2 linked regions of the Callithrix jacchus genome follow. The protein of the gene in region 2 purifies or fractionates together with the protein of the main gene of each other region. This does not show direct contact. Links are inferred from orthologs where the notes say so. Each region holds a gene or a part of one and is shown on either strand. Other genes may lie near its edges.

Region 1 (15,764 bases), on a different chromosome or scaffold from region 2:
CTAGATGTGATCTGAATTCAAGTTCTAGGATATATTCACTTTATGTCTTTGAAAAGCCACTCAGCTTCCTAGAGTGGAAGAATCAAATGCATAATCCAGATAATACTACTCCGCCCAGCTCCTGGAGCTACCAAGGTACAATAAGGTACGCTAAATGATTTTTCTACTATAAAAAGTTACTCTTTATAAGCAATAACATCTTACTTGCCTAAGCAAAAAATATTAAGCAGTAAAAATGTCAGACTGCAAAATGAATTTAATCCTCACTCACAAATACTCAGGTTAAAGATAATCCTGCATAATGGTTTTTCACCCACAGCACATAAAAACCTGAAAAGCAAGGGGATAAGAATCACATAAATTTACCTAAAATTCAATGACAGGGGACATTTGTTTTTTAATTTTTAATTTTTTTTTTTTTTGAGACAAAGTCTTGCTCTTGTTGCCCAGGCTGGATGTAGTACAGTGGTGCGATCTCGGCTCACTACAACCTCCACCTCCCAGATTCAAACAATTGTCCTGCCTCAGTCTCTCAAATAGGCACCCACCATCATACCTGGCTAATGTTTTCTGTATTTTTAGTAGAGACAGGGTTTCATCATGTTGCCCAGGTTGATCTCAAACTCCTGACCTAAGGTAATCCACCCGTATCAGCCTTCCAAAGTGCTGAGATTACAGGTGTGAACCACTGCATTTGACCCAATAACATGTTCTTAATGATAATACCATGTCATCAAAACACGATTAGATTGTAGTAAATATTCTGACTAAAGCGGCAGAAAATTATGTAATACACTTCAGAAAGATGTATAATTAAAATAGCTAAAATGTGCAAGTTTTGGTCCTTGAAAGGATTTCAAATTATCTGACTAAAAAAGTCTCACACATGAAACAACTTATGTATTCACCACTGCAGCCAGAAAACTGAAAGAAGACACCTCGAGTCATATAATTTTTTTGTTGTTAAAACATTAACAAGCCAGACTAACTATATTCTACTTCAGCCCAAAATCTCAGGCAAAAGCCTCCATTTCAACAAAATTTAACAAGCTGTGGTCTACTCTCTTTAACATAATAAAAGTATCATAAAAAGTCTACAGTGACACATGTGACAGCCAGGCATTACAAATCTGAATTACTTGATTCAGTTCACAAAGCACTTCTTATGGCCGCGCACAGTGGCTCATGCCTGTAATCCCAACACTTTGGGAGCCTGAGGCGAGTCAATCACCTGAGGTCAGGAGTCCGAGACAAGCCTGACCAACATGCCAAAATCCCATCTCTACTAAAAATACAAAAATTCGCCAGGCATGGTGGCACATGCCTGTAATCCCAGCTACTTGGGAGGCTGAGGCAGGAGAATCACTTGAACCAAGGAGGCAGAGGTTGCAGTGAGCCAATATCCCTCCATTACACTCCCGCCTCAGCAACAAGAACAAAACTCCATCTCCAAAAAAAAAAAGCACTTCCACCAAAATGTTGCCATTAGATTTGAATAACCATCAGGTAAGTAAGGTAGAAATAACATTTATTCCCAAAGCTGTTGAGAGGATCAGATAAAATCTAACCAAACATCCCTGTACAGGGTCTTATAGGTGCTCAATTAAATTAGTGATTTTCCTAACAGATAAGAAATTGGCAAGTAAAAAGATGGAGAAATATGAACAAGCTCAGAAAGCTAACTGATTTATCCTCAACTGTGTGCTCTTTTCTTTTCTCACCAACACTCTATTAATTTCTACAAAGCATTTACCAACCCAGTTTCTTCATGATTGATTTTCAAGAAAATTTCCACACAACAGGAGTATATTCATTCATTCACAACATCTGAATGCCTTCTATACAAAGGTACGGTTCTAGACACTTGGAAACACTTCAGTGAACAAACCTGGCATGGATGCCACTCTCAAGAAGCTGATATTCTAGTGTGAAGAAATAAGCAACAAGTAAAAAGAGCTTCAAACAGTAACAAGGACCAAACTGGATACCAAAATTCATATATGTTCAAGTCTTTTATATATAATGGTGTAGTATTAGTAATTGCATATAACCTAGGCACATCTTCCTATATATTATCCCTAGATAACATATAAGACTTAATACAGTGTAAATGCTATGTAAATAATTATTATACTGTATAGGTTTTTATTTGTATTTTTTATTTTTTCCTAGTATTTTCGATCCATGGTTGGTTGAACCCATGGGTGTGAGATTGCTGGATTCGGAACCCACAGATACGGAGCGCTCACTGTATATGTAACTCACACTTTTCCATTTATTAATGACATACTCTACCTTACTTAACAAAACTAAGAGAATAAGGTACTTAATAAAATAACTTACATAAAGGGGAAAACAAAATTTAAAAGGTTAAGAAATTTCAACAGCAATGGCTTTCAAGCACTGAATTGTGGAGGAGACTGTTTTACACTTTAGCCTTCAAAAAGGTGATCCTATCAATGAGAAGGGGAAAACAATATTAACAGTAAATCATTAACAGTACGGATCACATACCAAGATGAGTGATACAAGCTGTCATTAAAAAGTTCAGAGAAAGGAAGAGCAATGCTTCTTCTCAAACATTAATATGCTATAAATCACCCGATTTGGTAGATCAGGAGAGGGCCTGAGATTCTATGATACTTTATGTCTCCATTTCTAACAAATTAAAGTGTAACAACTTTGCTCATCTTCTGGTCACGGATCATACTTTGAATAGCAAGAGTCTAATAAATATAAGGAAGGTAAAAGTCAAATGTTCTAGGGAACAAAGTGAATTCAACAAGAAAAGTTTAACAGGAAGAATTAGCTTAATCTTATCTGGGAACAAGGAGACCACCTGACAGAATGAAGCCCCATTCTTCCATTTCACAAGGAAGTACCGAGCACCGACTCTTGCAGAGGACACAGGAAGAGCTACACTGACAGGCCTACTGGAATGGACAATTAAAAGATTATTGACAGAGAGCATTTCAACTTACTGGACTGACAAAAATGGGTTTCTAGCCATACCAAAGGTAGAAGAGATGTGAAGCAATGGGACTTCTCATAAACTGCTAGGACAAATGTGAAATGGTACAAATACTTAGGAAAGTAATTTGACATTATGATTCTTAGTATAACGGTCCATAACGGTCCATGAGTATCCTCAAGTCCCACCAATCATAGTGTGAGACAGACATATCAAGACTCAAGACACAGGAGAATATAAACTATGATTTAATTCATATTTATTCATATAGACAAGTGAAAGTAATCAAACTGTTTAATAGTCCATGTGGTAAAGCCACAAAAGAAACATTAAAATTTGCTAAAAAAAAAAAAAAAAAGCCAGGCTCGGTGGCTCATGCCTGTAATCCTAGCACTTTGGGAGGCCGAGGTGGGTAGATCACCTGAGGTCAGGAGTTCAAGACCAGCCTGGTCAACATGGTAAAACCCCATCTTTAAAAAAAAAAAAAATTTGCTTATACCCATTACTGGAGATAGTTTAAAAAAAAAAGAATCATTAAAATAAAACTCTCCAATAGTGACTCACATAGTGGGAGAAGGGCCTGGAGGAAGGGATGAAAAAGACAAAAGGGCTTCAAAGATACTTGTAATGTTCTATTTCACAAGTTGAACAGTGAATAACTGAACGTTTAGACGCTAACTTCTGTGAATGACATTGTGATATATTTTACAGTTCTTTGCTAATGTTATCAATGGTCTTTAAAAAGTCATAATAATTCAGGGAGTTTGTGGTGGCAAATTCTAACAGGAATAATGTTCAAGTATGAAAACCACAAATACAAAATGGTTCTTTAACCATAACAAAGAGGAAAAAAAGCCAGGGCAAAGAAGTGGAACATGGGGAGCTAAAAGAGACAGTGCTTAAAATTTTAATATGGGAAAGTCCTGATGAGTGTATGTGCTAATGGAGCATCCAGCTGACCCTTAAACAACATGAGCCTGAATTGCACAGGTTTAAGGATGTGAACCTTGCATATAGGAAAGGCCAACTTTGCCTATAGGTGGGTTCCGCAGGGTTCCATAGGACCAACTGTAGGACTTGAGTATACTCGAATTTTGTATATGCAGTGGTCCTAGAATCAATTCCCTGTGGATGCTGAGGGACTGCTATATTACCGATACAGAGGAATTGATAAAATAGGTCTAAAGGCAGAAAAGGAAGGGTTCAAGAATACAAGAAAAATTGGTCTTGGCCACTATCAGTGTGCCAGGAAGGAACAAATGTGATTAAACATCAGGCTGAACATAGGATGAGATAAATCTCCAGGTTCACCTCCTACATCTACATATGGCTGAGAATGGTCACAAGGGTCGGGACTTTTTTCTTCCTTGCTCACCAACATACCGAAGTATCTAGCAGGGTTAGATCTGGCATATGGTTGGCAATCAATAAATATTTGTTAAATGAATCAAGAAAAGATTACAACTGGAGTATACAGATTCAAGTTAAACTAGATGGAGAATTTTTTTAAAAACAGCATAAGTCTATTAGGTAACATTGTTTATTCAGTATGTGATGATGAAAGAGGAATTTCAGAGAGAAAGAACTTCATGAACAAAAGCAAGGTCATGCTTACTGCTTGAATAAGGATGTGAATCTAGGTCTGTCTTTAGCATGACTTATTAAAGGAAAAACCAAGTAGTCTGAGTGTCTGGAACATAGAGTTCCCACAAAGCTTGGAAAGAAAGGAAATAAACCTGAACACAGATACAAGAAGTAAGAACATTTTGGTGGGCCTTAAAGTCAATGGAAAGTCACTGAAAACATCTAAGAAAAGAAGATCAAATCTAAATGTTCACATTAAATGAATATTTTAAAGTATGAATGTTAGACTGAAGAGGGCAGGGGAAAACAATATTAAAATAACCTATATAAGATATGAGAACATAAACTGGGAGTATTATAAATAATAAAACGGGGCCAGGCGCGGTGGCTCAAGTCTATAATCCCAGCACTTTGGGAGGCCGAGGCGGGTGGATCACGAGGTCAAGAGATCGAGACCATCCTGGTCAACATGGTGAAACCCCGCCTCTACTAAAAATACAAAAAATCAGCTAGGCATAGTGGTGCATGCCTGTAATCCCAGCTACTCAGGAGGCTGAGACAGGAGAATTGCCTGAACCCAGGAGGCGGAGGTTGCCGTGAGCCGAGATCGCGCCATTGCAATCTAGCCTGGGTAACAAGAGCGAAACTCCATCTCAAAAAATTAAATAAATAAATAAATAAAACGGAATTCATACTCATTCATTTATCCAACTCTGTCAATTAACAGGTTCAGTACTGGAGATACAACATTGGTGACAAAGCACAGTCTCTGCCCTCAGTAGCATATATTCTGATGGAGAAGAAAGAAAACAAGATAGTTACAGGCTGTGGGAAATTCCAGAAAGAAATATAGGGTGCTGTGATAGAAAGTAAGGAGAAGAACAAGTCTATGATTCTATTTTGGACATGTTAAATATGAGCTGCCTATGAGTCATCCAAATAGTGATGTCAAATAGGCAATGGGCATTTAAGAGCCATTACTGACAAAAATATAAATCTATGACTTATTAGAAATAAGTAATATTTAAAGCCACGAGCAGGGATAAGAATACCTTGAAGAATACTACTATAATTACTGCAAATAACTGCAGCAGCTAAGCTTAAGTGGTGACTTACTCTGTCCCAGACATTGCTGTAGTTATTGACATATATTCAGTCCAAAACAATTCAGATGAGGAAAACGAGGCACAAAGACTTGCCCAATGTCATTCAGCAAATTTCAGAACTGGGATTCAAACCCAAGCAGTCTGGCTCCAGAGCACACACTTCTATCAACTTCATTACGCTACCTATGTCAAGCAGAGACTAAAAGAAAAGCCAAAACCTAAACCATGAGGCACTCCAACATGCACAGATGGAGAAGAGACACTAATATAAAAGATGAGGATTAAGTGGCCTAAAAGGAAGGATAGTGATTGACTGGGGTCACACGCTGGTAAGAATCCTCAGCATTAAGATATGAAAGCAAAAGAAAGAAAAGATACACTATTAAAATTGATAGGGATACTGGCAATCATTTTGTGGATAAGAAAATGTACCTTCTGAATAAAACAATCAGAGAAGTGTTGTAAGCTACTGGTGGATGCAGACTGGAATGCATGTTTCCTGATTATCACTTCAGTGCTCTTTCTACAATTTCAATCTACAGTAACAAAGGTAGCATTCGGAATAACTCAAGAAACATTAATAAGGATGAGAGTGGCAAAGCCACTGACAGTAATCTGAGTGTTTATAACGACAAAGGTACTATTAAACACTTTGCATACCTCAGAATTTCATTCTCAAAACCCTTATTAGGGAGTACTTTATCATCATCCCCATTTTACAAAGGATAAACCTGAGACCTAGAAAATTTAATAACTTGCAAAACGTCATGCTTACTGCTGGAATAAGGATCTGAATCCAAACCTGTCTTCAGGATTCTCTCAGCTAATATGTAACATTGCTTTTCGAAAAGTAACACTGTTAACCAAGACAGAAAAAAGAAAGAAAGAAAGGGAGAGCAGAGTTTAAGGAAGTTTTTTAAAACTGTATTTGGGCAAAGGTGAATACACCTTTATGCCTTCCACGTAGAGACAGTATGTACATGACTCCATGTACAAAACATCCATTAATAAAATTTAGAGTAACCAGTATTCACTGTATCTAACCCAGTATATGGCATAAAGAACATACTACTTAAATGTTCCCTACTGGATTTATGATAATTGGAAACCATTCACAATTAAAATATGAGCAAAAAAGATAAAGGAACCCTGCAACTGCATCATAATCTAGCTGCCTAAAATTATATAAATGACAGAAAGGCAGATGTCCAAAGAGAGGAAAAGTTGTTAGGAATTTATTTTGCTAATATCTACCTAACCGGTGGAGAAAAAAAGCAGAGTTACCCACTACTGCAACTCTGCAATAAGAGATCTTTCACTAAGTTCATCAAGAATCTGCATATAAATAATTCTCAAGTAAAATAATCCTTTACCTGCTCTTATCATGATTGACTTTGGAGTCACTGATAAGCTTTTGATCTTTTTTTTGTTTTTGAGCAATGGTGCAATCTTGGCTCACTGCAACCTCCGCCTCCTGGGTTCAAGAAATTCTCCTGCCTCAGCCTCCCAATTAGCTGGGACTACAGGCATGTGCCACCACACCTAGTTAATTTTTGTATTTTTAGTAGAGACAGGGTTTCAACATGTTGGCCAGAATGGTCTCAATCTCTTGATCTCGTGATCCGCCCACCTCGGCCTCCCAAAATGCTGGGATTACAGGCATGAGCCACTGCACCCAGTCACTTGATTTTTTAGCCGATTTCAAAGGTGCTTCGGTAATCAGAAATGGTCCTTTTGGTGGTACATATAAGCATTTTCACCACTGTAAAGGTTTATCTTCCACAGTAAATGAGTAAATCAACATTCACATGTACAAACCAATCCCCTGTGAGCAGGATTAACGGGTTCCTTGGCATTAATCAATTGTGAGAGAGCTGATAAAAAAAACAGTAATTTGTGAATCCACGAAATTGAGAACCACTCTCTTGACCTTCCTAAGCCCACTGTCTACTTGTGAAACTTGAAGTGATCCAGTCCATCTCCACCTGCAGGTCTCTTTTTAACAATCCCTCTTAAAGTTGCCAGGAAATTGTTACTGATGTGCTTTTATCACTGCCCTGTTAGACAATATTTGGCACTTAGAAGAATGTCCTAAAATATTTACTGAATAAATGACCTCCAAATAGATTTAATGCCACCGACCTTTTGCCTTTTTCAACTCTGAAAACTAAGTGACTCAAAGAGTGCTGTTGTGACATAACAAATTTAATAAGAAATGTGCTCCTAAGGAATAAACATTTCCCAAGTGTGTAAGTGGTACTTATTTTAACAAGTGTAATCTAAGTCCACCCACCAGCTTTAGAGATTTGTAATCTCTAAAGACACATCATTTGTTCCTGAACAAACATCTGCTTCCCATGAGCCAGGGAAAGCCAGAGTGCCAGTACACAGACCAGATAGTACTGCATTTTCAACGTATTACACAAGTGACACTTAGAGCAAAACATTCCAAAGTTAATCTCTCACCTGCATCTTTCAAGCTCTGCTAACCATAGACGTTAAACTCTTAATAATCGTAACATTGATTACTCTGTGCTAGAGGTCACCACATAAATTTTTTATTTAACCCAAACAACTCTATGACATAAACCCTTCTCATTCCCACTTGACAGATGAGAAAAGCAAAGCTTGGAAAGGTTAACTTGCCCAAGGTCACAGAGCTGGTTAAGTGGAAGACCCTAGAAGACTAAATGAGCTCCTAACCACTAGGCTACACTTTTGTATCCAGTTTAACTAAGTCAGTTCAACAGATTCAATTATATGCTGGATTTAAATTATGAATAGTTTCCACTTAAAAATAGCACGGTGCAATTAAAATATTCACATGAATTTTAAAATACTTCCTTATTGCAAGTATCTAAGATCTGCATTAATGGGAAATAACCTTTAAAAAAATCAAAGAGAGAGAAGATGCTTTTTAAAAAGAGAGGCAGGAAAGATGTTTTTAAAACGAGAATGTCATACAAATGTATTTTGCTTCGAAACAACAGAAATAAAATTTCTCATTCTAGGTTATCCTTTTCCCAGCTAAGTCCATTCCCTTATCAAGAATTTCCTTAGATGTCCTAGTTCACGAACCTTAACTACTAAATACATTTTAGGTCCTTCTCTTTGATATTACTTTATGTTTTTCTGAATAAACACTACAAAAGAGTCCATTCTAATTATGCGGTTTCATTTAAAGCGCCGAAGTACAGGCTCAAGAGAGTGGCTACAAAGTACATCTCCATTTGGGAAGTTATAGATGTCAGATCCCAGCAGGGAAGCAGTGGAGTTTCCTTACTCTTTCCTTCCCAGAGCCCTGCTAAGTCCCTAAATCCTTCTCGACACCTTCGTTAGCTGCTTGTCTCCAGGAGTCTTTCTCCTAATCCCCACTCCAGGCAACTCAAAACAAGACCCCAGGAACTTGTCACTCACACCCTATTCTCAGTCCCCCTTCCTGAAGCCACAACTGTCCCGATAGAAGATAAGAGAAGGTTGTCGCGTCTTCTGAAAAAAAGTGAAGATGAAAGAGAAAGGTACTAGGGAAAAACTTTGGCCCAGCCACACCAAGTCCGGGGGCAGAATGCTGGAAAGTACGGCTGGCGGGGCGGGACGGGGCTGGGAACTGCGCTCCCCACGTGGGCCAGAGAATACCAAACAGCACTCACAAGGCCATCTATCTGCACTTGCTTCACGGCTGAATCTCCAGAGCCGCCTTTGCCTTTGCCTTTCCCTGCTGCGCCGGCGGTGGAACTGGAAGAGGTGGCAGAAGAGCCGGTACCTTCCTTGCGGGACGCCATCTTTCTAGGCAGACAGGAAGAAAGAGAAACATGAGTTACCGGAAGCGGAAGTACAAGTCTCGCGTGACGTCACTGGCAGACTAGCGTTCGACGGGCGGAGCTGGAAGGAGAAGCCAAAATTGGGCCCCGCCTCCCTCCTCTCTTCTAGTTTTATCGTCTTTCCAGGTGGTAGCCTTTGTGCGTGCCTACCGTACATTTTCTGCCTCTCTCCAATGGAGTGATCTAAGATGAAAGTAAAGTTTTTAAATGTTTAATCATTCACCATTAGGCGAACGGTCATAATAGCGTTACAGTTCGCATTATTTTTGTAGCGTGTCTTTCGTAAAAACGCTTTCATTTCTGATTTTGCAATGAAGTGCTGTACTAGCTCGCATTGTGCATATTAGAAAATTGAGAAGTGGTTTACCCGACACTATTCTGTTAGCGGTGAGCCAATATTGCATAGCTTGTTTTACGTAATTTTAGATAGCTACCTGTATAAACACTTAGATTATACAGAAATTAATTAAGATATGGAAACTTTTTCCAGAATTACCAGAAATAGTAGCCTTTTGCTATTAGTTTCATGTAGATATTTACATAAGTATCAAAGAAGTTATTTTAGGTATTGTTGAAGGTTGATACAGAACATTTTCTAAAAATCACGCTGATTTATGACACATTATTCTGAAATACACATCTCAAGTCTTTAAAAGAATATGTGCCAACTGTAAGAGCCTTTTTAGATAAGCAATTTAAAACATTCTTTTCTACTTCCTAATGACTTCTTTCCTATCCCTTATTTTTTAAATGCTTATTAATTCAATCAAGATATACACAGAACTGGCAAATAGTTAAATCAATAAACGGCATATCCTGCCTTGAAGTGTTTTGTTGTTTTTATCGTTGGGATCTGGTGTTATATTTCAGTCTGGGAGAAGAAATAGTTATATGTTACAAATTCTCAACACCACAAAATGGAAAGTTAATATCCATTCATTTTAAGTATATATGAAATATTTATCAAAATAGACCACATCCTAGGTCACAGAGACAGTCCACAAATTTAGAGGTGTTGAAGGTTAATCCTGGTAGAATTACACTAGAAATTGGTAATAGAAAGGTCACAAAAAGAAAAAAAAAAAAAAGAAAATTTCTCATGGAAGAACTAGACTGGAGGCTAACACCCTTTTCGACCTTAGCCCACCTGCACCCAGGTGAAAAAAAAAAGAACTAGACTGGAGGTTTTTGCCTACCACTAGGCAGCTGGAATGATGAGCATCAGAAAACAGCCAGACTGCTTATAAACAATAATACATTTATTTATTACTTTATCCTACAACATACATAACCCAGTTTTGTTTCAAAATTATAAAACCAATATCCTCATAACAATAAAACTACAAACTAAAGTTTAAAATTTCTTTGCAAATTTTGTGTCCTTGAAAATATCCAACTAAGGTTTTCCAGCCATGTGTGCTAAACACACTAAAATGGGGTATTTTCATCTGTCCTGAGACAGTTCATGTGAGCCCCCTTTATGAAATAGACTACATGTAAGAGATAGAACAGAGAGAGAGAGACAGAGAGAGACAGAGTATATGAAGTAGAATTTGAATTAAGAAATCAATATAATCAATATGATCACCTGGACTAGAAAGGGCCCAGAAGTAATGACATTTCCTTCTCTTGGATTCCTGCTTTCATTTCCATCTCACTGGCTACCTCTTTTATTCTCAGTTGCCATTGCTGATTTTTCTACCCCTTTCCACCTTTAAATATTGAAGAGTAGCAAAATTTAGACCTTAAACAATCTTCTTTCCCCTAATTTTGCTCTCTTTTATGGTGATCTCATCCATTCTCAGGACTGTAAAAATCACATATAGTCTGATTCCCAGATTTATATTCTCCAGACCTCTCCACTGAACACACTAGCATGCTCATCTACCTAGTCAACATCTCCATCTAAATTTCCAATAGGCACCTCTCAATCTTTCCAGAATCGAGCTGCAGATACCACCACCCTCATCCCCAAAAATGTTCTTCCCATAGTCTTCCCTATCTCATTTGATGACAGCTTCATTCTTCTAGTTGATAAGGCCAAAAACGTTTTCTGTCATCTTTTACTACTCTGTTTCTTTCATGCCCTATCTCTGATCCATCAGAAAATCCTATAGACTCCATCTTCAAAATGTTTTCAGAATTCAGACTTCTATTTCTGGAAAGATGAAGTAGATATATTTTTGCCAATTCTGCCTAGTTAGTACAACTAAATGCCTGGACATTATATATAAAAGAAACATAAGGAGACTGAAAAAAAATGTGGAGAAGAAAGAAGACCGGCTAGGGACCTCAGGACCCAAAGTACAACAAGGTGGTGATTTCCCAAGGTTTCTATTTGTCACGTATATCCCAGACCCGGAGTTAACATTCAGTGACTGAAAACAACAACAGGCAGACCAAAAAAAAAAACTTGAAACCTCCAACAAAATCCTCTTCTCTGCACACTGTCAGGGGAGCTTGGAGTTTCACCCTTACCAGACTGTAATGAGGCACCTATGCTATTCCCCGAAGGTGTGATGTTAGAGGAAGCCTAACCAGAATTTCATCACAGCCAAGTAGTAATGAGGTCACCCATTTGTCAGTGGGGGCAACACAGAGAGCAGTAATGAGGCTCTCCTAGCCCTTTCATCAAGGAGGTATCAGTGAAGGTCTAGCAGGATCTGGAACTCCCATCCCTCTACTAGCAACAGAGAACCACCTCCCAAGTGAGGCAATGGAGGCCCAGTGTTACTGTAACCTCTCTAGGAAGTAACAAGAAGGACCTAATTCCCTGCCCTTGTATTGCCAGAACGGTGTCAGAGGAAGCCAGCAAAAACAGAAGGTCCCAATAAGGTCCAGAGTTCAGTAAAAAATAAAATACCCAAATGTCTATGTTTCAATTAAAAATCATTCATCTCGCCAAGAACCGAAGCATACATGGACTAGATGATCTCAAACTAGATGAAACAAGATAATCAATATATGCCACTGAAATGACAGAGAAGTTAGAATTAGCTGACAGATTTTAAAGCAGCCCTCATTAAATGTTTCAATAAACAATTACAAACACACTTGAAACAAATAAATTTTCAAAAAACAAATTCAACTTATCGAAGATATATGAGATATAAATAAGGACCAGCAAAGGACATAAACACTTAGCGAAAGAAGATACACACATCACCAACAAGCATATGAAAAAATGTTCAATATTACTAAATGCAAATCATTGTATAGAAAGGTGAGCTTGGAACTGGCACAATCCACCAGTCATCTCACACCAGTCAGAATGGCTATAAAAACATTTCACAGCAGTCAGAATGGCTATAATTAAAAAGTAAAAAAATAACGTTGGTGAGGTTTCAGAGAAATAGGAAAGCTTGTACACCACTGGTTGGAATGTAAATTAGTTTAGCTGCTATGGAAAGCAGTCTGGAGATTTCTCAAAGAACTTAAAATAGAAGTATCATTTGACCCAGCATTTTTTTTTTTTTTTTGAGACAGAGTCTTGCTCTGTCACCAGGCTGGAGTATAGTGACACGATCTCAGCTTGCTGCAACCTCCACCTCCTGGGTTCAAGTGATTCTCCTGTCTCAGCCTCCTGAGTAGCTGGGACTAGAGGTGTGCACCACCACACGCAGCTAATTTTTATAGTTTAAGTAGAGATGGGGTTTTACCATCTTGGCCAGGATGGTTTCGATCTCTTGACCTCGTGATCTACCCACCTCAGCTTCCCAAAGTGCTGGGATTACAGGTGTGAGCCACCAGGCCAGTCCTGACCCAGCAATCTTACTACTGTATATATGTTCAAAGGAATATAAATCATTCTACTGTAAAGACACATGCACATATATGTTCATCACAGCATTATTCACAATAGCAAGGACCTGGAATCAACCTAGATGACCATCAGTGGTGGATTGGATAAAGAAATGTAGTACATATACAGTGTGCAATACTGTGAAGCTATACAAAAAATGAGACCATGGCCTTTGCAGCAACATGGGTGAGTTGGAGGATGTTTCCTAAGTGAATTGACATAGAAACAGAAAACCAAATACCACATGTTCTTACTTATAACTGGGAGCTAAACACTGAGTACACATGACAAAAAAAGGAATAATGGATACTGGGGCCTATTTGAGGGTGGAGGATGGGAGGAGAGTGAAGATTGAAAAACTACCTATCAAGTATTAAAATAATTACCTGGATGTCAAAATTATTTGTAATTTTCCCATGTAACAAACCTGTGCATGTACGCTTTAAACCTAAAATAAAAGTTGGAAAGGAAAGAAAAAACAAAAAGAACAAATGGAAATTTAGAACCTAAAAAGTACAATAACCAAAATTAAAAACTCAATGAAGGGGCTAAACAGCAGAATCAAAAGGAAAAAAGAAAGAGGTCGGTAAAACAGAGATAGACTGATAGAAATGACCTAGTCTGTACAGCAGCTTAACAGCATATGAAATGATGTACCATTGTGGAAAACAATATGTCAGTGCCTCAAAAATTAAACATAGCATTACCAAATGATCCAGCAATTGCCCTTTAAGGTATATATCCAAAAGAATTCAAAGTGGAAATGCAAACAGATATTTGTACATTGACATTTATAACCTCACTACTCACAATAGCCAAAAAATGGAAACAATTCAAATGCCCATTAGCTGATGAATGGATAAACAAAATGTGGAATATACATACAATATGGTTTGGCTATGTCCCCACCCAAATTTCATCTTGAATTGTAGTTTCCATAATCCCATAACATGGGAGGGACCCAGTGGGATGTAATTGAATCAAGGGGGCAATTATCCCCATGCTGTTCTCATGATAGTGAGTGAGTTGCCATGAGAACTGACAGTTTTATAACAGGCTTTCTCCTTTTGTTCAACACTTCTCTCTCCTGCCACCATGTGTTTGCTTCCCCTTCCACCATGATTGTAAGTTTCCTGAGGTCTCCCTAGCCATGTGGAACTGTGAGTCAATTAAACCTCTTTCCTTTATAAATTACCCAGACTCAGGGAGTTCTTTACAGCAGCCTGAGAACAAACTAATACAGCATCCGATGGAATATTATTCAGCCTTAGAAAGGAATTAAATTCTAATGCATGCTATAACATAGATGAAGCCTGAACACATTATGCTAAGTGAAATAAGCTGGCCACAATAGAACAAATATTGTATTATTTCAATGATGGTATTTCCAGAACAGTAGCATTCATCAAGAAAGAAAGTAGAATAGTGTTTATCAGCACCTGGGATGGTGGAGAACTAGGGAATTATTATATAATGGGTACCAAGTTTCAGTTTGGGATGAGGGAAAGTTCTGGAGATATAGTGATATTGTTGAAGAACAATGTAAATGTACTTAATGGCACTGAATTGAACATTCGTGGGAGTTTAAATGTTAACATTTATGTTACATATATTTTTTTGATTTTTTAAAATTTTACTCTAGTTTCACAACAATTAAATGTTAAATATATCTTATCATAATAAAAAAATAGACTGGCACAAAAAATGAACAGAGCCTTGGAGAACTGTGGAACTAAAAGAAAAAAAACAACAGGCCAGGTGTGGTGGCTCACAGCACTTTGGGAGGCTGAGGCGGGTGGATTGCTTGAACTCAAGAGTGTGAGATCAGCTTGGGCAACTGTGAGAAAACATCTCTACCAAAAATACAAAACATTAGCTGGGTAGTGGTGGCGTGTGCCTGTGGTTCCAGCTACTAGGGAAGCTGAGGTAGGAGGATTGCTTAAGCCTGGGAGGTGGAGGTTGCAGTGAGCCAAGATTGCGACACTGTACTCCAGCCTGGGTGACAAGTGAGAGCCTGTCTTAAAAAAAGAAAAAAAAAAATCAAACAATCCTATCAACAGCTGGGTGTGGTGGCTCACTCCTGTAATCCCAGTGCTTTGGGAGGCCTAGGCGGGCAGATCATGAGGTCAGGAGATGGAGACCAGCCTGGTCAACATGGTGAAACCTTGTCTCTACTAAAAATACAAAAACTAGCTGTGTGTGGTGGCATGGGCCTGTAGTCCCAGGTACTTGGGAGGCTGAGACAGGAGAATTGCTTGAACCCGGGAGGCGGAGGTTGCAGTGAGCCTAGATCTCACCACTGTACTCCAGCCTGGTAACAGAGGGAGACTGTCTAAAAAAAAAAGAGCAGGGGTAAAAAGGTATTTGAAAAAATAATGACTGAAAACACCCCAAATAGGGCAAAAGTCATAACCTACGAATTCAAGATGCTTAGCAAAGTCCAAAAGGGATACCCCCAAAGAAATTTATAACAAGACATA
Region 2 (15,886 bases):
TGAAGCCCGCATTTCCCCAAACTTTGCCAAGAGTCTACTGGAGCATGCGGTCTTCCTCACCTCCCAGGTAAACCTGAACACCATCAAGCGCTGCCTCCTCATTGACTACAACCCTGACTCCCAGGAGCTGGACTTCCGCCACTAGTGAGCATCCTGGCAGGCAAGGGATGAGGGGGTACGGGATGGGGGCCTCTTCATGCGGCTGATGACAGCACTCTTGCTGAGACTCTGTGATTGCTCTGTCTCTAAGTAAACGCCCTGACACACTGTGGGAAGGCAAGATGTGGACTGCAAGCCCCAAGACCCCTGACCACCCCCTTGTCATCCACTCATGTCCCCACAGTAGCATCAAGGTTGTTCCTGTGGGTGCGAGTCGCGGGATGAAGAAGCTTCTTCAGGAGAAGTTCCCCAACATGAGCCGCCTGCAGGACATCAGCGAGCTGCTGGCCACGTAAGAAGGGCATAGGGCAGGAGGCCACCCGCAGCCCAGGGACCCCAGAATGGGCCCAGGAGTCTGAGCTTCCCCATTGAGCTGCGAGTGTTCCCCACATAGGGGCGCAGGGCTGTCGGAGAGTGAGGCGGAGCCCGACGGTGACCATAACATCACAGAGCTGCCCCAGGCCATCGCTGGCCGCGGCAACATGCTGGCTCAACAGAGCGCCGTGCGGCTCACTGAGGTGAGGCCCAGGGAAGGTGACCCTTGGGGACCCCGAGCCCCAACAATGGGCTGACACTTCTCTGTCATCACCCCCAGATCGGCCCGAGGATGACGCTGCGGCTCATCAAAGTCCAGGACGGCATCGGGGAGGGCAAAGTGATGTTCCACAGTTTTGGTGAGGCCGGGGCCCAAGGGTGGGGGGCTGCGCCCAACTCTCGGTGACTGCATCTCCCTGTTCAGTGCGCAAGACGGAGGAGGAACTGCAGGCCATCCTGGAAGCAAAGGAGAAAAGGCTGCAGCTGAAGGCGCAGAGGCGGGCCCAGCAGGCCCAGAACGTGCAGCGCAAGCAGGAGCAGCGGGAGGCCCACAGGTCTGGGTGGGGCTTGGCAGTGCCAGGCCAGGGGTCCTGGGGATGGGCAGCCACCTTGACCACCACCCAATCCCTCCTTCAGGGAGAAGAGCCTGGAGGGCATGAAGAAGGCACAGGTTGGGAGCAGTCGCGAAGTGGCCCCGGGGAGGCCGAGCCCGTGGTTGAGCAAGTCTGATGATGACCTGGAAGATGATGACATAGAGTATTTCCGCCAGGCGGTTGGCGAGGCGCCCAGTGAGGGTATGGAGTGGGGTCTGCAGTGGGGTCCTCGGGGCCCGTCCTTGTTCTGGGGCCCTGACATGGTCTCTTCCCCGCAGACCTGTTCCCTGAGGCAAAGCCAAAACAGCCAGCCAAGTGTCCGGGCTGGAAGCGGCGGGAAACGGACAGAGGCAAGGGTCGTTTTAGTGACTGGAAGTTGCCCAAGGACAAGCCCCAGGGGGCCCAGGGCAGGCTGGGGCCCAAGGGGGTTTCCTGGCATCGTGGACGGGGACGGGGACGGGGCCGGCCACAGAAGAGAGCAGCATGAGGCCGAGCCGTGTCGGAGCAGTGGATAGACTGAATGCCCCAGATTGGGGCCCGAGAGACGCCATAAAGGAGTTGTGTCCCCAACCCTTCCACTCCAATAAAGGACTGAACTGGCCAGGGGTCCACGTCAGCTTTTGGGATGGGGGATCCTGGAGCCCTACAAAGCAACCCAGAGAGGCCTGGGCCGGTGACACCTGGGAGTCCCTTCCACCTGGTTTGCTCTTGGAAGCTGGGTCCCTCCCCTCTCCCACTTCTTGCATGGGGTTGGGTGGTGTCATTGGTGGCAGCATTGGGCATGGGCAGCCCCTCCCCACGGTGCCACCAAGAGCCCTGCAAGCAGACAGAGGTCACGCTTTAAGCAGATGAGCTTGAATCCCCAGCTGGCTGTGGCACAATGAGGAAGGAAACGTGGGTGGAAACAGGATGCTCTCGCCTGCTCTGCTGGCTGGCCCCGGAACTGGGGGAGGGACTGGGGCTTGGCCACAGGAGACTCAGGAGGCACAGCGGAACTGGGTTGCAGACAGGCTCAGGCTCGGCACAGACAGCGTGGGAGCATGGCAGCCAACCACTCAGGTGAGAAGGCATGATGGCCTATCCAGGGGTCTGCAGATTATTAAAAGGTGGGGGCAGTGGGGGATGGGTATTGGTAAAACCTAGGTTGAGGCTGCTTGTGGTGGCAGGAGCCTGTGGTCCCTGCTAATCAGGAGGCTGAGGCAGGAGGATCGCTTGAGCCCAGGAGTTCAAGCCTGCACTGAGCTGTGATTGCACTTGAGCCTCAGTGACAGCGAGATCCTGTCTCCAGAAAAAAGCGAGGTATAGATGGCACTTCCTCCCTGAGCAGGCTATGGTTGGGAGTGGATAAGCACCTCAGGAGGAGCCTGTCCCCAGAGTGAGCGCCCCTGTGCTGCTGTGCCCTGTGCACTGTGGTGGGCACTGGTGCCAGTAGTGGGTAGGCAGAGCCCTCATCCTCCCAGAGGAGGGAGGTTTTTCTGTCATTAGGTGGAAGCACGATATGGGGGAAAATGCTGCAGGGAAGGCTGCAGGCACACTTTGGGGTGTCTGCAGGCAGGACCACAGTCGTGGGGGAGGGAGCCTCAAGAATGTCAGGGTGTGGCCAAGCATGGTGGATCATGCCTGTAATCCCAGTGCTTTGGGAGGCTGAGGCGGATCACCTGAGGTCATGAGTTCGAGACCAGCCTGAAAAGGAAGTCAGAGGTCAAAGTGGTTCAAACATTGGTTTTGGCGTAGGAAACCAGAGCTAGATAAGTAAGCTCCAAAACCCTAGAGGTGGGTGGGGTAAATGCAAATTTAGCAAATCATTAAACCCTTGGAGGCAACCTTTGTGCCCCCTTGCTGGGATTACCAGCACTGCTCAAGTTTTGCCAGTACAGAAAGGACTTCTAAAAATCCTTAGAAGTCAGAGTGACCAACATGGGGAATCCCCATCTCTACTGAAAATACAAAAATTAGCCAGGCCGGGGGTTGGGGGGGGGCGGTGATGCAGCTACTTGGGAGGTTGAGGCAAGAGAATTCCTTGAACCCGGGAGGCAGAGGTTGCAGGGGGCCAAGATAGCACCACTGCACTCCAGCCTGGCGTCAGAGTGAAACTCTGTCTCAAAAAAAGTCTGGATGGGAAGGTCCCAAGGCACAAGCCTGCAGGAGCAGGCGGGAAGCCAGAGTGGGCCAGTGTGAGGGAGTGAGTCATGGGGCAGAGAGGATGGCATTGGGGAGTGTGGTGAGTGGCAGTGTACCCATGTGATCTTGTGGGGTGAGTCTGGCTCTTTGGCGGCCACTCCACAGCTAAGTGAGCTGGAAGCAAAAGAGGTGGGGACAGGACTCCAGCACTCGCAGGTGCCCTCTGGTGGCCACAGGGAGAAGAGTCTGCGGGTCAGGCAGCACAGATCTGAAGTGAAGCTGGCAGGACTTGCCAGGGCTGGACTTCGGGGAGGAGGTCTCTAGTGGGGCCAGAGATGAGGGTGGCGGGGGAGCTGGGTGGCCACTGGCTTGCCCCAGCTGGTCCACTGGGGCCCAGTGCAGAACCCTGGCTCTGAGTCTGATCCCCTTCCAAGGGGAAAGGACTCGTGTCAGGATCCGTGCCATGGTGGGCATGGGCTCGGGAGGCAGCAGGAGCTGCCTTATGGGAGGTGAGTGCTCAGCTGCTGATACCTTTTGCCCACAGGTGCCAAGGCCTGCCCTGTCAACTTCCTGGTGGCTGCTGACCACATCCTCAATACATTCCAGGGGGACTTCCTGTGGCCCATACTGGTGGTTGAGTTCCTGGTGGCCGTGGCCAGCAATGGCCTGGCCCTGTACCGCTTCAGCACCCTTGAGCAGCGCCCATGGCACCCCGCTGTGGTCTTCTCGGCCCAGCTGGCAGTCAGTGACTTGCTTTGCGCCCTGACGCTGCCACCACTGGCCGCCTACCTCTATCCCCCCAAGCACTGGCGCTACGGGGAGGCCATGTGCCGTCTGGAACGCTTCCTCTTCACCTGCAACCTGCTGGGCAGTGTCATCTTCATCACCTGCATCAGCCTCAACCGCTACGTGGGCATCGTGCACCCCTTCTTCACCCGCAGCTACTTGCGGCCCAAGCACGCCTGGGCCCTGAGTGCCACAGGCTGGGTCCTGGCTGCCCTGCTGGCCGCACCCACGCTCAGCTTCTCCCACCTGAAGAGGCCACAGCAGGGGGTGGGCACCTGCAGCGTGGCCAGGCCCGAGGCCTGCATCAAGTGTCTGGGGACAGCAGACAGCCACCGGCTGGCAGCCTACAGAGCATATAGCCTGGTGCTGGCAGGGCTGGGCTGTGTCCTGCCTCTGCTGCTCACGCTGGCGGCCTATGGTGCCCTCGGACTGGCCGTGCTGCGCAGCACGGGCATGACCGCGGCCGAGAAGCTGCGCGTGGCAGCACTGGTGGCTAGTGGCGTGGCCCTCTACACCAGCTCCTATGTACCCTACCACATCATGCGGGTGCTCAATGTGGAGGCTCGGCGACGCTGGGACAGCCACTGCCCAAATTTTACGGATGTGGGCCAGGCCATGGCGGCCCTGGAGCTGGGGCCCTACGTGGGCTACCAGGCAATGCGAGGCCTCATGCCCCTGGCCTTCTGCATCCACCCACTGCTCTACATGGCCGTGGTGCCCAGCCTCGGCTGTTGCCGCCAACACTGCCCCGGCTACAGAGACAGCCGGAGGCCAGAGGATGGCAAGAGCACCGGCCAAGCCCTGCCCCTGAATGCCACAGCCACTCCTGAACCATCCGAGCCTGTCCCATGAGGTGAGCCTGTGATGTGGCCTGGCTGAAGCCACATTCCAGGTGTCATTCCAAGGTGCCACTTCCCCCAGAAAGCAATGCCTGTGACTGCAGCCAGATTGGGCCTGCTGCAGCCCAGGCGGCAGTCGCCTTTCCCACTCAGAGCGCTGGCCATGGAGACTCTGCAGGGTCAGGGACCAAACCCACACCCAGGGAAGGGGAGGGGCTGGCCCTGCCACAGGACTGGAGATGCAAGAATAAACAGGACGGGGTAGAGAGAGAGGAGCCTTTTTATTGCCCTTGGAGCCCATGCTCTCAGAGGCTGCCTTCTGTCGCCAAGGGTCCTAGGCCGAGCATCCGGTGGCAGCTGGCTTAGTTAGTGGATGGCCTGGGGAAGGCAGGAGGAGGGTGGCATGGTGTGAGACCTTGGGGGGCACCCCAAGACTCCCGACACCCAAGTGGCACCTCGTGGGTGGGAGCAAAGATGGGGTAATACAAGGACAAAGGGGACACAGTCAGATGGCCAGTCTCAAAGCCTGGCCCAAAGTCTGGCAGGGACCCTGGGGCACAAGAGCTGCCACCCAGTACCCCTCTGCCAGGTTTTGGAAAAAGACAAGGACTGTCCCCTCAAAACCAACCTGGGGACTATTAAATTGCTATAGGACTATTGGTTGGCCCCAGGCTCAGTGGCGGTGCTGGGACAAGACAGGGACCCGGGGCAGGGGCAGGGGCAGGGGCAGAGCAGGGGTCGGATCTTACTTGGCCCACTCGACGTTGAGGATGAGGTGGTCATAGCCGAAGCCAGACACTCCAGCGATGGCGCGTGCAGCATCCTCACGGCGGTGGAAGCTGATGAAGGCAAAGCCCTGCAGAGGGGAGGCGTGGGTGGGGTCATCAGGCAAAGCCCTGCCCCACAGCGCCCCCCCCGCCGCCCCCCGTGCCTGCCCACCTACCTTGGACTGGCCAGTGGTCTTGTCCTTAGCTAGGTAGATGCGGGAGATGGAGCCAAAGGGCCGGAAGAGCTCCTGCAGGTCGGTCTCACGCGTGTCCTCTGACAAGTTGGTGACACGGATGGTGGCATTGTCATCGGCTGTGAGGGGAGGTGGCTGTGAGTGGAGTCCCCTGCCTGGCCCTCGTGTGCACCTCGGGGATAATGAGGGATTCTCGGAGGTGCCCACTCACCAGCCCGGTGTCGGGACACCCCTCACCTCTGCGGTTGGGCTGCATGGACTCTCCTCGGCGGCTGGCCCCGTCACGCAGGCTTGGCGGCACGTACTTCCCCGTCTTGTTCTGGGTGGCCTGCACCGGCTCTAGCTCTGCGGACCAACAGACAGCTGAGTTCAACTTCACCCTGGCACAGGCACAGGGACAGAGCTGCCCCAGGAAGCTGGGGCTCCAGTGCTGATCGAGAGCAGGCACTGTCTGCCAAGCCACAGGCAGCCGGTTGGCCAAAGGGACACCAAGGTCACACCCAGAAAGCTGGTACCATTTGAGCTCCCAGCAAGCAACACTAGTGAAGGCAGGGGAGGAAAAGTCCCAACCCCCCTCCTGAGAGGGCAGGGGGTCACAGGGAGAGCAGCCTCACATCTACAGCGATGGCATCATGGGACACACGGGACAGTGCCCAGGTTGCCCTCACATGGCAGGCAACAAGTACACATCCCCACTCACCACCAGCTAATCCCACAGAAGGATTCAGATGGTAGAGTCACAGGCATGTAACACACCACACATACACAAGGGGATGGAGGGGTCAGCACTCTGGAACTGACAGCAGCTCAAGCAGCTCACATCAGGACAGTCACACGGCCACCAGCAGAGTCACAGCTGCCAAGTCGCATATAAACAGGAGATACCTATCTCCCAACCTTACAGGAGATGCAGCCAACTAGGAAGGTAAAAGGCACCTCAAAGAAAGACAGGCACTGTCAAACCCACTGTGCTGTCATGCAGGAGATAACAGGCAATGATCAAGGACCCCCGACACACACCAAGCCCACAACAGCATCCAGCACCCCTGTCCACGCACCTCCGGGCAGCTTCTCCTTCTCGCCAGTGGACAGGCCCAACTGCTCGGCCAGCTCCTTCTGCATGGGCCCCAGCGTGTCCTTGTACGGGCAGCGAGTGGTCCAGTGGTCGCCCTTGCAGATGCGGCAGGACACGATCTTCTGCCCCTTGAGTTTGTTCATGGGGTCCTCCTCCTCCTGGCAGTTCAGGTCCTGGCAGGGGCAGGTTTGGGGGAATTCAAAGAGGTGGCTGAGGCACCCCATTTGCCACCACCCCAGGACCCCAGCCCAGTCTGGTTGCCCTGCTTACCTCCTTGCTGGTGATGAACGTCATAGAGACATCGTCACTGACAGTGGTGGTGGCCACATTGGGCCCTGGGGGGTCAAACTCTGAGTTTCCAAACTTCTTCCAGTTCTGGGCTCAGGGAGGAATGGGGGACAATTGAGGGCAGGGGCAGGCAGGGTTCCACAGTGGGGTGTCCCGGACCTACAGCCTTCCCCGGAGTGTCTGGGCCTTGAACCTCATTTTCATCCTCCTCAACCACTCCCTGAACAGTTCTGTTGACAGTTCCTATTGCCTGAGTCCCCGCCAGGCCTGAGCTCCAGGAGGCAGGGCAGCTGTCAGCATTGGGCCCCAGGTGAGAGCTACACAGCCTGGGGCCTGTTCATGTTGGCGGACAAGCTCCCACTAGGGTTCAATATTCAGGGATGTGAAGGGGCTCCACCCAGACCTCCAGGCCTTTGAGCTACCCAGCCTGAGCCTTGGCTTCCTCCCTTGTAAAACAGGAACCACAAAAGCTTCCTACCTCCCTGGGCTTCTAAGGACATCAAATGAGAAACACCCTGCCAGGTGGCTGGCATGAGGTATGGTACAAACTAAGCGCACAGCAAACTGTCCCAAGTGTATTAATTGATATCACTTCTTCCAGAAACTGCTGTGACCACCTTCTGGCTCCATTCCTCCATTGACAGGCTAAGAGGAATAAAAAATCTAACCACAGCTGGTCGCAGGGGCTCCCTCCTGTAATCCCAGCACTTTGCGAGGTGAAGGTGGAAGCTCTTGAGCCCAGGAACTGGAGACCAGCCTGATCAACATAGAGAAACCTTACCTCTACAAAAACTTAAAATTAGCCCGGTGTGGCGGTGCACACCTGTAACCCCAGCTACTCAGCAGGGTGAGGTGGGAGGATGGCTTGAACCTGGGAGTGTAAGGCTGCAGTAAGCTCTGACTGTGCCACTGCCCTCAAGACTGGGCAACAGGACTGGACCCTGTGTCTTTAAAAAAAAAATAAAAGAATCTAACTTACAATATTTTTAATCTAATTTATTTGATATTACTATCATTCGATATTTATCATCAAACTTTTTTTTTTTTTTTGGTGAGATGCAGTCTCACTCTGTCACCCAGGCTGGAGTGCAATGGTGCAACCTCAGCTAACTGCAACCTCCGTCTCCCAGATTCAAGCAATTCTTCTGCCTTAGCCTGCCCCGTAGCTGGGATTATAGGTGCACACCACCACACATGGCTACTTTCACTGCACCCCTGCCCATCATTGAACATTTTTACTGTGCATCATCATCAACTCCTGTGCCCTGAACTTTTCAAGACCCCATAAGAATACAAGAACCCAAGGCTCAGTTCAGACTCACAACAGGTACAGAGTTAAGTCCCATCTCTTAAAAACAAAGGTCCAGGGAACACAGTTTTCCAATTCCTCTGTGTTATCCCTGGGGAAGGAGGATCTCACCTTCCTCCTTGCGACAGCCTTTGAAGCCTTCCGGGTCTCAATCCTGAAGGTGCGGACAATCTGAGGATGGGAGAGGAGAAGGGTCAGGCTCCTGGAACCAAAGGAGCTCCTTTATCAACCCACTCAACACACCCCAACCTCTTCTGGTCTCAGGGTCCCCAAGGAAAAGGGTCCTCACTCCTTGCCCCCTCCCACCCTCACCTTGAACTTCTTGCCATCCTCATCTATCTTGTACTCCGTCACTGTCTTTATGTTTCCGTTGATGACCTCCTTGGGAGGCGGCAGTGGAGCTGGAGAAGGGGAAAAAGAGCAAGAAACTGAGCCCTGGGTCACGGGCATCAGGAGCGGCACGGCTGGAGGGAGAGGCAGCCCGGAACGGAGTGGCAGTCCTCACTCACCTCCCGGCAGCAGCTCCGGCTCTGGGCTGGTGTCGCCGGTGGCCAGAGGGATCCCTTTGAGGAGCTCGCTGGTGACACATTTGTCTGCGAGAAGCAGCGTGGGGAGAAGGGGTCAGCTCCAGGGGCAGGAGCTCCCCAGCTGAGATGGAAGGGCCTTTGGGATGACGCCTACAGCAAAAGCTGAGAAAGGCAGGCCAAGGGCAGAGGACTGGCCAGGTAGTACACTGGGATGGCCCTGTGGGGACGCGGAGTGGCCAGGATGGGGGAATCCCTCGTAGGAAGGTGGGGGCCACGCCATGAAGCCATCCAGGCGCCAGAGAGAAACAGGAGACAGGAGATTACAATTGTCTCCCTGGAGTAAGGGAACAGCTGGGAGGGCTAGCGCAATGGCATGGGAGGAAGAGGGACCTGCCAAGGAACATCTGGAGTTGGCAACAGGCGAGCCCCAAGGATGAAGGCGCGGGGCAGGGGCTGGCCGTGACGGCGAACACGGTGCCAGTCTGGGAGATGGAAACAGGCAGCAGTGAACCGGCTCGGGCCTGGCCGCGATGACCTGGGGCAAACGGATTCACTTACCGTCCTCTCCCTCCTCTTCCACCTGGTCGGCCCAGCTGGGCTTCGAACTGCGGAAACAAGTGTGTGGGGAGCTAAGATTAAGTCAGCCAGGCCAAGCCCCCGCGGCCTCGGCGCACCCAGGCCCCATAATACTTCCCAGAGCCCTGTAACCGCCTCCCGTACCCGCTTCCGTGATCCCCAACTCACTCAAAATCTCCAGTAGGCATCGCAAAAGGGCTCTCCACGCAGCCCAAGCCCGGGCTAGAGAGCGGAAGTGGGTGTAAAAGGAGACTTCCGGTTCCGCGGACACCGCCTAGTGGGGCCGGCCGCGGCATCCACAGCGACACCTGCGGACGGAGGTGGAGGCGCACGCGGCTGTGTATGCTGCTGGGAGCTGCTGGTACCAGAGCAGGGAGCGCGGAAGGGCGGTGGGGGCGTAGAGGCTGATTTCACTGCTGCTCCTACTACCCTTTAAAAACCAAAATAAGCCGGGCGCGGTGGCTGAAGCCTGTAATCCCAGCACTTTGGGAGGCCGAGACGGACAGATCACGAGGTCAGGAGATCGAGACCATCCTGGCCAACATGGTGAAACCCCGTTTCTAGTAAAACTACAAAAATTAACCGGGTGTGGTAGCATGCACTCGTAGTCCCAGCTACTCCGGAGGCTGAGGCGGGACAATCGCTTAAACCGGGAGGCAGAGGCCGCAGTGAGGCGAGACCGCGTCACTGCATTCCAGTCTGGGCTACAGAGTGAGACTCCATCTCAGAAAAATAAGTTAAAGAAAATGATATAATAACAACAAGGTTCACTGATCGAGTGCTTATTGTATATGAAGCAGGGTGAGGAGGATATTATTGCAATTTTACAGCTCAAGAAACTGAGGCTGAGACTGGGTGAGGTGTCACACGCCTGTAACCCCGCACTTTGAGACTGAGGCATGGGGGTTGCTTGAGGCCAGGAGTTCGAGAGTAGCTAGCCTGGGCAACAGGGTGAGAACCCCACCACCACCACCCCGACACACACCCACCACCATCTCTAAAAAAGAAAAAGAAAGAAAAAACAAAAACAAAAACAAAAAGCCGAGGCTCAGGGAAAACAGTCCTTCTGCAAACTGTTCCTTGCCTTCTTTCCCAATCCCACAGATTCAGATGTCAAGGGGCCCGATGAGCCACTCCTCCTCCTTTTCGTTGTAGTGTTCTTGGCTTTCCGGTATAATTTTGTGCATTTACTTGCTTATTGCTCAGCTCCTTGCTCTAAGAACAACCATCCTCAGCTGGAGTGATTCATGATGACTCCCCAGGAGCAAAAACTGGTTTTCAGCGAGGGGGAAAAAAACTAAGATATTGTGGTCTTCCAAAGCCAGCTCTATCAGACAACATCTTATTCTTTTTTTTTTTTTTTTTTTCAAGACGGGGTTTCACCATGTTGGTCAGGCTGGTCGTGAACTCCCAACCTCAGGTGATCCGCCCAACTTGGCCTCCAAAGTGCTTGGATTACAGGCGTGAGCCACCACGCCTGGCCCCATCTTATTCCTAAGTATTTAGTTTCTGCCTTTAGGGAGATAGTAACTAATTAAACTGAAACTAACTTGGTTGATTTAAATTCAATTTTAGAATAATTTGGGTTTTCTCCTAAGGAGGCTGATAATGAACAACAACAAAAAAAAAAACTGACAATGTGGGGCTCAGTGGCTCACAGCTGTAATCCCAGCACTTTGAGAGGCCAAAGTGGGCAGATCTCTTAAGGTCAGGAGTTCGAGACCAGCCTGGGCAACATGGCAAAATAGAAAAATTAGCTGGGTGTGGTGGCCTGTGCATGTAACCCCAGCACTTCGGGAGGCTGAAGCAGAAGGATCACTTGAGCCTGGAGTTCAAGGCCAGCTTGGCTAACACATAGTGAGACTTCCCATCTCTAAAACAAAACTTTTTAAGAATTAGCTGGTCATACTTCTATGTGCCTGTGACAGTCCCAGCTACTCAGGAGGCTGAGGTAGGAGAATAGCTTGAGCCCAAGGGGTTGAGCCATGATCATGCCACTGCACTTCAGCCTGGGCAACAGAGCAAGACCCTGTCTCAAACACACACACACACACACACACACACAAACTTGTTAGGGAGAATGGCTTGAGAAAAAATAAGACAGGGAAAAAAATTATGCTTTTTATCCTCTGGGGTGTGAGTGAGGAGGTCACTCAAGTGTTTCGAATATCACCAGTGTTTCTTGTGAAAAAAAATATTCTAGAAGCCTGTAGAGAGCTGAGTGGAAGGGAAAACAGTAGCTGGAGAGCAGGAAAGAGAGGCCTCTGCAGCCTTTCAAGAGGGTGGCCTGGCTATATCAGTGAAAATATGACGCTGGTCTGAAGGGCTGATAAACATTTGTACAAGCTTAGTCAAACGTACTCTGAACAACAAAAAATCCAAACAACCTAGCAGATTGGGCAAAGCTTTAAAAATTCAGTATCACCCAGTGGTAGTAAAGATGTCATAGGGAAACAGGACAGGCACGGTGGCTCACACCCGTAATCCCAAGACTTCAGAAGGCCGAGGCTGCTGAATCACCTGAGGTCAGGAGTTCGAGACCAGCTTGGACAACATGGTGAAACCCCATCTCTACTAAAAATACAAAAATTAGCTGGGCGTGGTGGCGGGTGCCTGTAATCCCAGCTGCTCAGGAGGCTGAGTCAGAAGGATCATGGGCTAGGCGCAGTGGCTCACTCCTGTAATCCCAGCACTTTGGGAGGCCGAGGCGGGTGGATCAAGGGGTCAGGAGATCAAGACTATCCTGGCTAACATGGTGAAACCCCGTCTCTATTAAAAATACAAAAAATTAGCCGGGGGGAGGGGGTGGTGGCACGTGCCTCTAGTCCCATCTACTCAGGAGGCTAAGGCAGGAGAATCACTTGAACCTGGGAGGCAGAGGTTGCAGTGAGTTGAGATCGTGCCACTGCACTCCAGACTGGCAGACAGAGTCTGTCTCAAGAAAAAAAAAAAGAATTGCTTGAACCTTGGAGGTGCAGTGAGGTGAGATTGCACCACTGCACTCCAGCCTGGTCAACAAGAGCAAAACTTCATCTCAAAAATAAATACCTATGTAAGACATTATAGGGAAACAGATGCTCACACATAATGTTAGTGCATGAGATCATGTAAGTTTTTTGGATGGAATCTTGACATCTAATAAAACTTTTTACTTTTTTTTTGAGACAGGTCTGGCTCTGTTGCACAAGCTGGAGTGCAATGGTGCAATCATAGCTCACTGTAGCCGCCATCTCTTGGGTTCAAGCAATCCTCCTACAGGAGCCTTCCACAGAGCTGGGACTACAAGCATGTGCCACCATGCCTGGCTAATTTTTATGTTTCTTGTAGTGATGTGGTCTCATGACATTGCCCAGTCTGGTCTTGAACTCCTGGGCTCAAGCAATTCTCCTGCCTTGGCCTCCCCAAGTGCTGGGATTACAGGCACATGGTACCTTGCCTGGCCTGCATCTACTAAAACTTAAAATGCTCATATGGGCTGGGCACAGTGGCTTATGCCTATAATCCCAGCACTTTGGGAGGCCGAGGCAAGTGGATCGGGAGGTCAAGATATCGAGACAATCCTGGCCAACATGGTGAAACCCCGTCTCTACTAAAAATACAAAAATTAGCTGAGTGTAGTGGCGGGTGATTCTAGTCCCAGCTAGTTGGGAGGTTGAGGCAGGAGAACCGCCTGAACCCAGGAGGCGGAGGTGGTAAGTTGAGTCACGCCACTGCCCTCCAGTCTGGCGACAGACCAAGACTCCATCTCAAAAAAAGTTTTAAAGTACGTATGAATTTTCCTTTGAACCAGCTAATAATTCCCGCTGTGAACAAACTTGTAAATGTATGCAAAGACATGAGAGTAAAATGTCCATGCAGTATTGTTTATGATACAAAAACTGCAAACACTTGTCCACCCATCCATAGGAATAGAGGCAGTTATGCTATGCCATAATCTATAAATTGCTATTTGATCTTTAAGGAGGTAGATCCATTTGTGCTCATGCAAAAAACAACCATCAAGATAAAAAGAGGAAGCAAAGGCTGGGTGCAGTGGCTTACGTCTGTAATCCCAGCACTTTGGGATGCTGAGGTGGGTGGATCACGAGGTCAGGAGTTCAAGACCAGCCCCTGCCCAACATGGTGAGACCCTGTCTTTACTAAAAATACAAAAAAAAAAAATTAGGCATGCTGGCAGGCACCTGTAATCCCAGCTACTCAGGAGGCTGAGGGAGGAGAATCCCTTGAACCCAGGAGGCGGAGGTTACAGTGAGACAAGATCATGCCACTGCACTCCAGCCTGAGGCAACAGAGAGAGGCTCCATCTCAAAAAAAAAGAGAGGAAGTGACATATAAAATGGCATATATTATAGGAACCAATTCGTGTAAATTTGTAATAGCACATAGATATGCAGATACATGCAAATATGCAAATCATTTCCTGGAAAGAAAGAATAAGAACTTGTTGATGAGGAATGCTTTGGAAAGAAGGCACCAAGAAAGGAAAGATTATTTTTGGACATGAATATATAATATGGATTTATGTAATAGGTGTGAGATGTAACATCTATTTCTTGGCCAGGCACTGTCAACTCATGCCTATAATCTCAGCATTTGTGGGAGGCCAAGGCGGGAGTGTTTCTTGAGCCCAGGAGTTCAAGACCAGACTGGGCAATGTCATGAGACCCCATCACTACATACAAAAAAATAGCTCGGTATAGTATTGCATGCCTGTAGTACCAGCTACCTGGGATGCTGAGGTGGGAGGACTGTTTGAGCCAAGGAGGTTGAGGCTGCAGTGAGCTCTTACTGTGCCATTACACTCTGGATTTGGTGACAGAGCAAAAACCTTGTCTCTGAAAAAGGAGGAGACTGGGCACAGTGGCTTATGCCTGTAATCCCAGCACTTCAGGAGGCCAAGGTGGGCAGATCACCTCAAATCAGGAGCTTGAGAACAGCCTGGCAAACACAGTGAAAACCCACCTTTAGTAAAAATACAAACATTAGCTGAGCATGGTGGCATGTGCCTGTAATCCCAGCTACTCAGGAAGCTGAGGCAGGAGAATTGCTGGAGCCCGGGAGGCGGAGACTGCAGTGAGCCGAGTGCTGCATTTATAGGCATGAGCCGCCGTGCTTGGCCACATCAAGGTTTGGGTGCAAGAGTACATCTGGTTATAGACTGCAGAAGCGTAATCCCCTAACCTCATTAGATGTTATTTTATATGTAGAAAAAGGCCTGGACCAGGGTCTTGCTCTATCACCCAGGCTGGAGTGCAGTGGCGCCATCACAGATCACTGCAGCCTCAACCTTTCCAGGCTAAGGTAATCCTCTCACCCTGGTCACCCAAAATTCTGGGATCACAGGCATGAGCCACCGCCCAGATTCATTTAAGGAATACAGTGACTCGGGCAAGAGACAGGTGCCCTGTGCTCTATCCTGTTTTGTCTTCACAGCCTCTTTCTGGAGAGCTGCAGAGATATGTCCCAGAGTCAAGGGCTTTGTGAAATTATGCGGGAAATCAGAGACGAACAAACCTGGCTTAACAATTGCTACTTTCTCTCACATTGCCATGACCAAGTACCACAGACTGGAGGGCTTAAACAGGACAGGGGGATGAAGCGAGACTTTTTTTTTTTTTTTTTTTGACATGGAGTTTCGCTCTTGTTGCTGAGGCTGGAGGGCAATGGCGCGATGTTGGCTCACCGCAACATCCACCTCTGCGGTTCAAGCAATTCTCCTGCCTCAGCCTCTCAAGTAGCTGGGATTACAGATGCCTGCCACCATGCAGGGATAATTTTGTATTTTTAGTAGAGATGGGTTTTCACCATGTTGGGCAGGCTGGTCTCAAACTCCTGACCTCAGGTGATCCACCCACCTTCGCCTCCCAACCCGATGGGATTACAGGAGTGAGCCATTGCTCAAGCATGGGCAACAAGAGCGAAACTGTTTCCAAAGAAGAAAATGGTGGTGGACACCTGTCCCAGCTACTCAGGAGGCTAAGGCAGGAAAATCACTTGAATTCAAGAGGTGGAGGTTGCAGTGAACCAAGATTGCGCCACTGCACTCCAGCCTGGAAGACAGAGACTCCATCTCAAAAATAAATAATAAAAAGAAAAAGAAAAGGCCGGTTGCGGTGGCTCACGCCTGTAATCCCAGCACTTTGGAAGGCGGAGGTGGGCGGATCACCTGAGGTCAGGAGTTTGAGACCAGCGTGACCAATACGGAAAAACTCCGTCTCTGCTAAAAATACAAAAATAGCTGGGTATGGGGCGCATGCCTGTAATCCCAGCTACTCGGGAGGCTGAGGCAGGGCAGTTGCTTGAACCTTGAGATGGAGGCTGTGGTGAGCCAAGATGA

Evidence for each region.
Region 1: the proteins of EIF3G (region 2) and EIF3H purify together in Homo sapiens (affinity purification with mass spectrometry; 8 studies listed by BioGRID and IntAct, counting the BioPlex papers as one, with this or other methods). This does not show direct contact. The link is inferred for Callithrix jacchus from reciprocal best matches to the Homo sapiens genes EIF3G and EIF3H.

What each region holds. Positions count from the first base shown.
Region 1 is NC_133517.1:80,677,026-80,692,789, reverse strand, and holds the start of EIF3H (eukaryotic translation initiation factor 3 subunit H), read right to left. Parts: upstream 9,470-15,764; 5' UTR 9,444-9,469; coding exon 9,312-9,443; intron 1-9,311.
Region 2 is NC_133523.1:9,300,751-9,316,636, forward strand, and holds EIF3G (eukaryotic translation initiation factor 3 subunit G), read right to left. Parts: upstream 9,781-15,886; 5' UTR 9,738-9,780; coding exon 9,718-9,737; intron 9,579-9,717; coding exon 9,532-9,578; intron 9,040-9,531; coding exon 8,956-9,039; intron 8,848-8,955; coding exon 8,759-8,847; intron 8,618-8,758; coding exon 8,558-8,617; intron 7,225-8,557; coding exon 7,120-7,224; intron 7,023-7,119; coding exon 6,833-7,022; intron 6,120-6,832; coding exon 6,012-6,119; intron 5,894-6,011; coding exon 5,757-5,893; intron 5,670-5,756; coding exon 5,563-5,669; intron 5,457-5,562; exon of another isoform or gene 5,192-5,456; coding exon 5,176-5,191; 3' UTR 5,076-5,175; downstream 1-5,075. Other genes in the region: P2RY11 (P2Y purinoceptor 11), read left to right, coding at 2,108-2,126, 3,733-4,826. UniProt on the Homo sapiens protein: RNA-binding component of the eukaryotic translation initiation factor 3 (eIF-3) complex, which is required for several steps in the initiation of protein synthesis.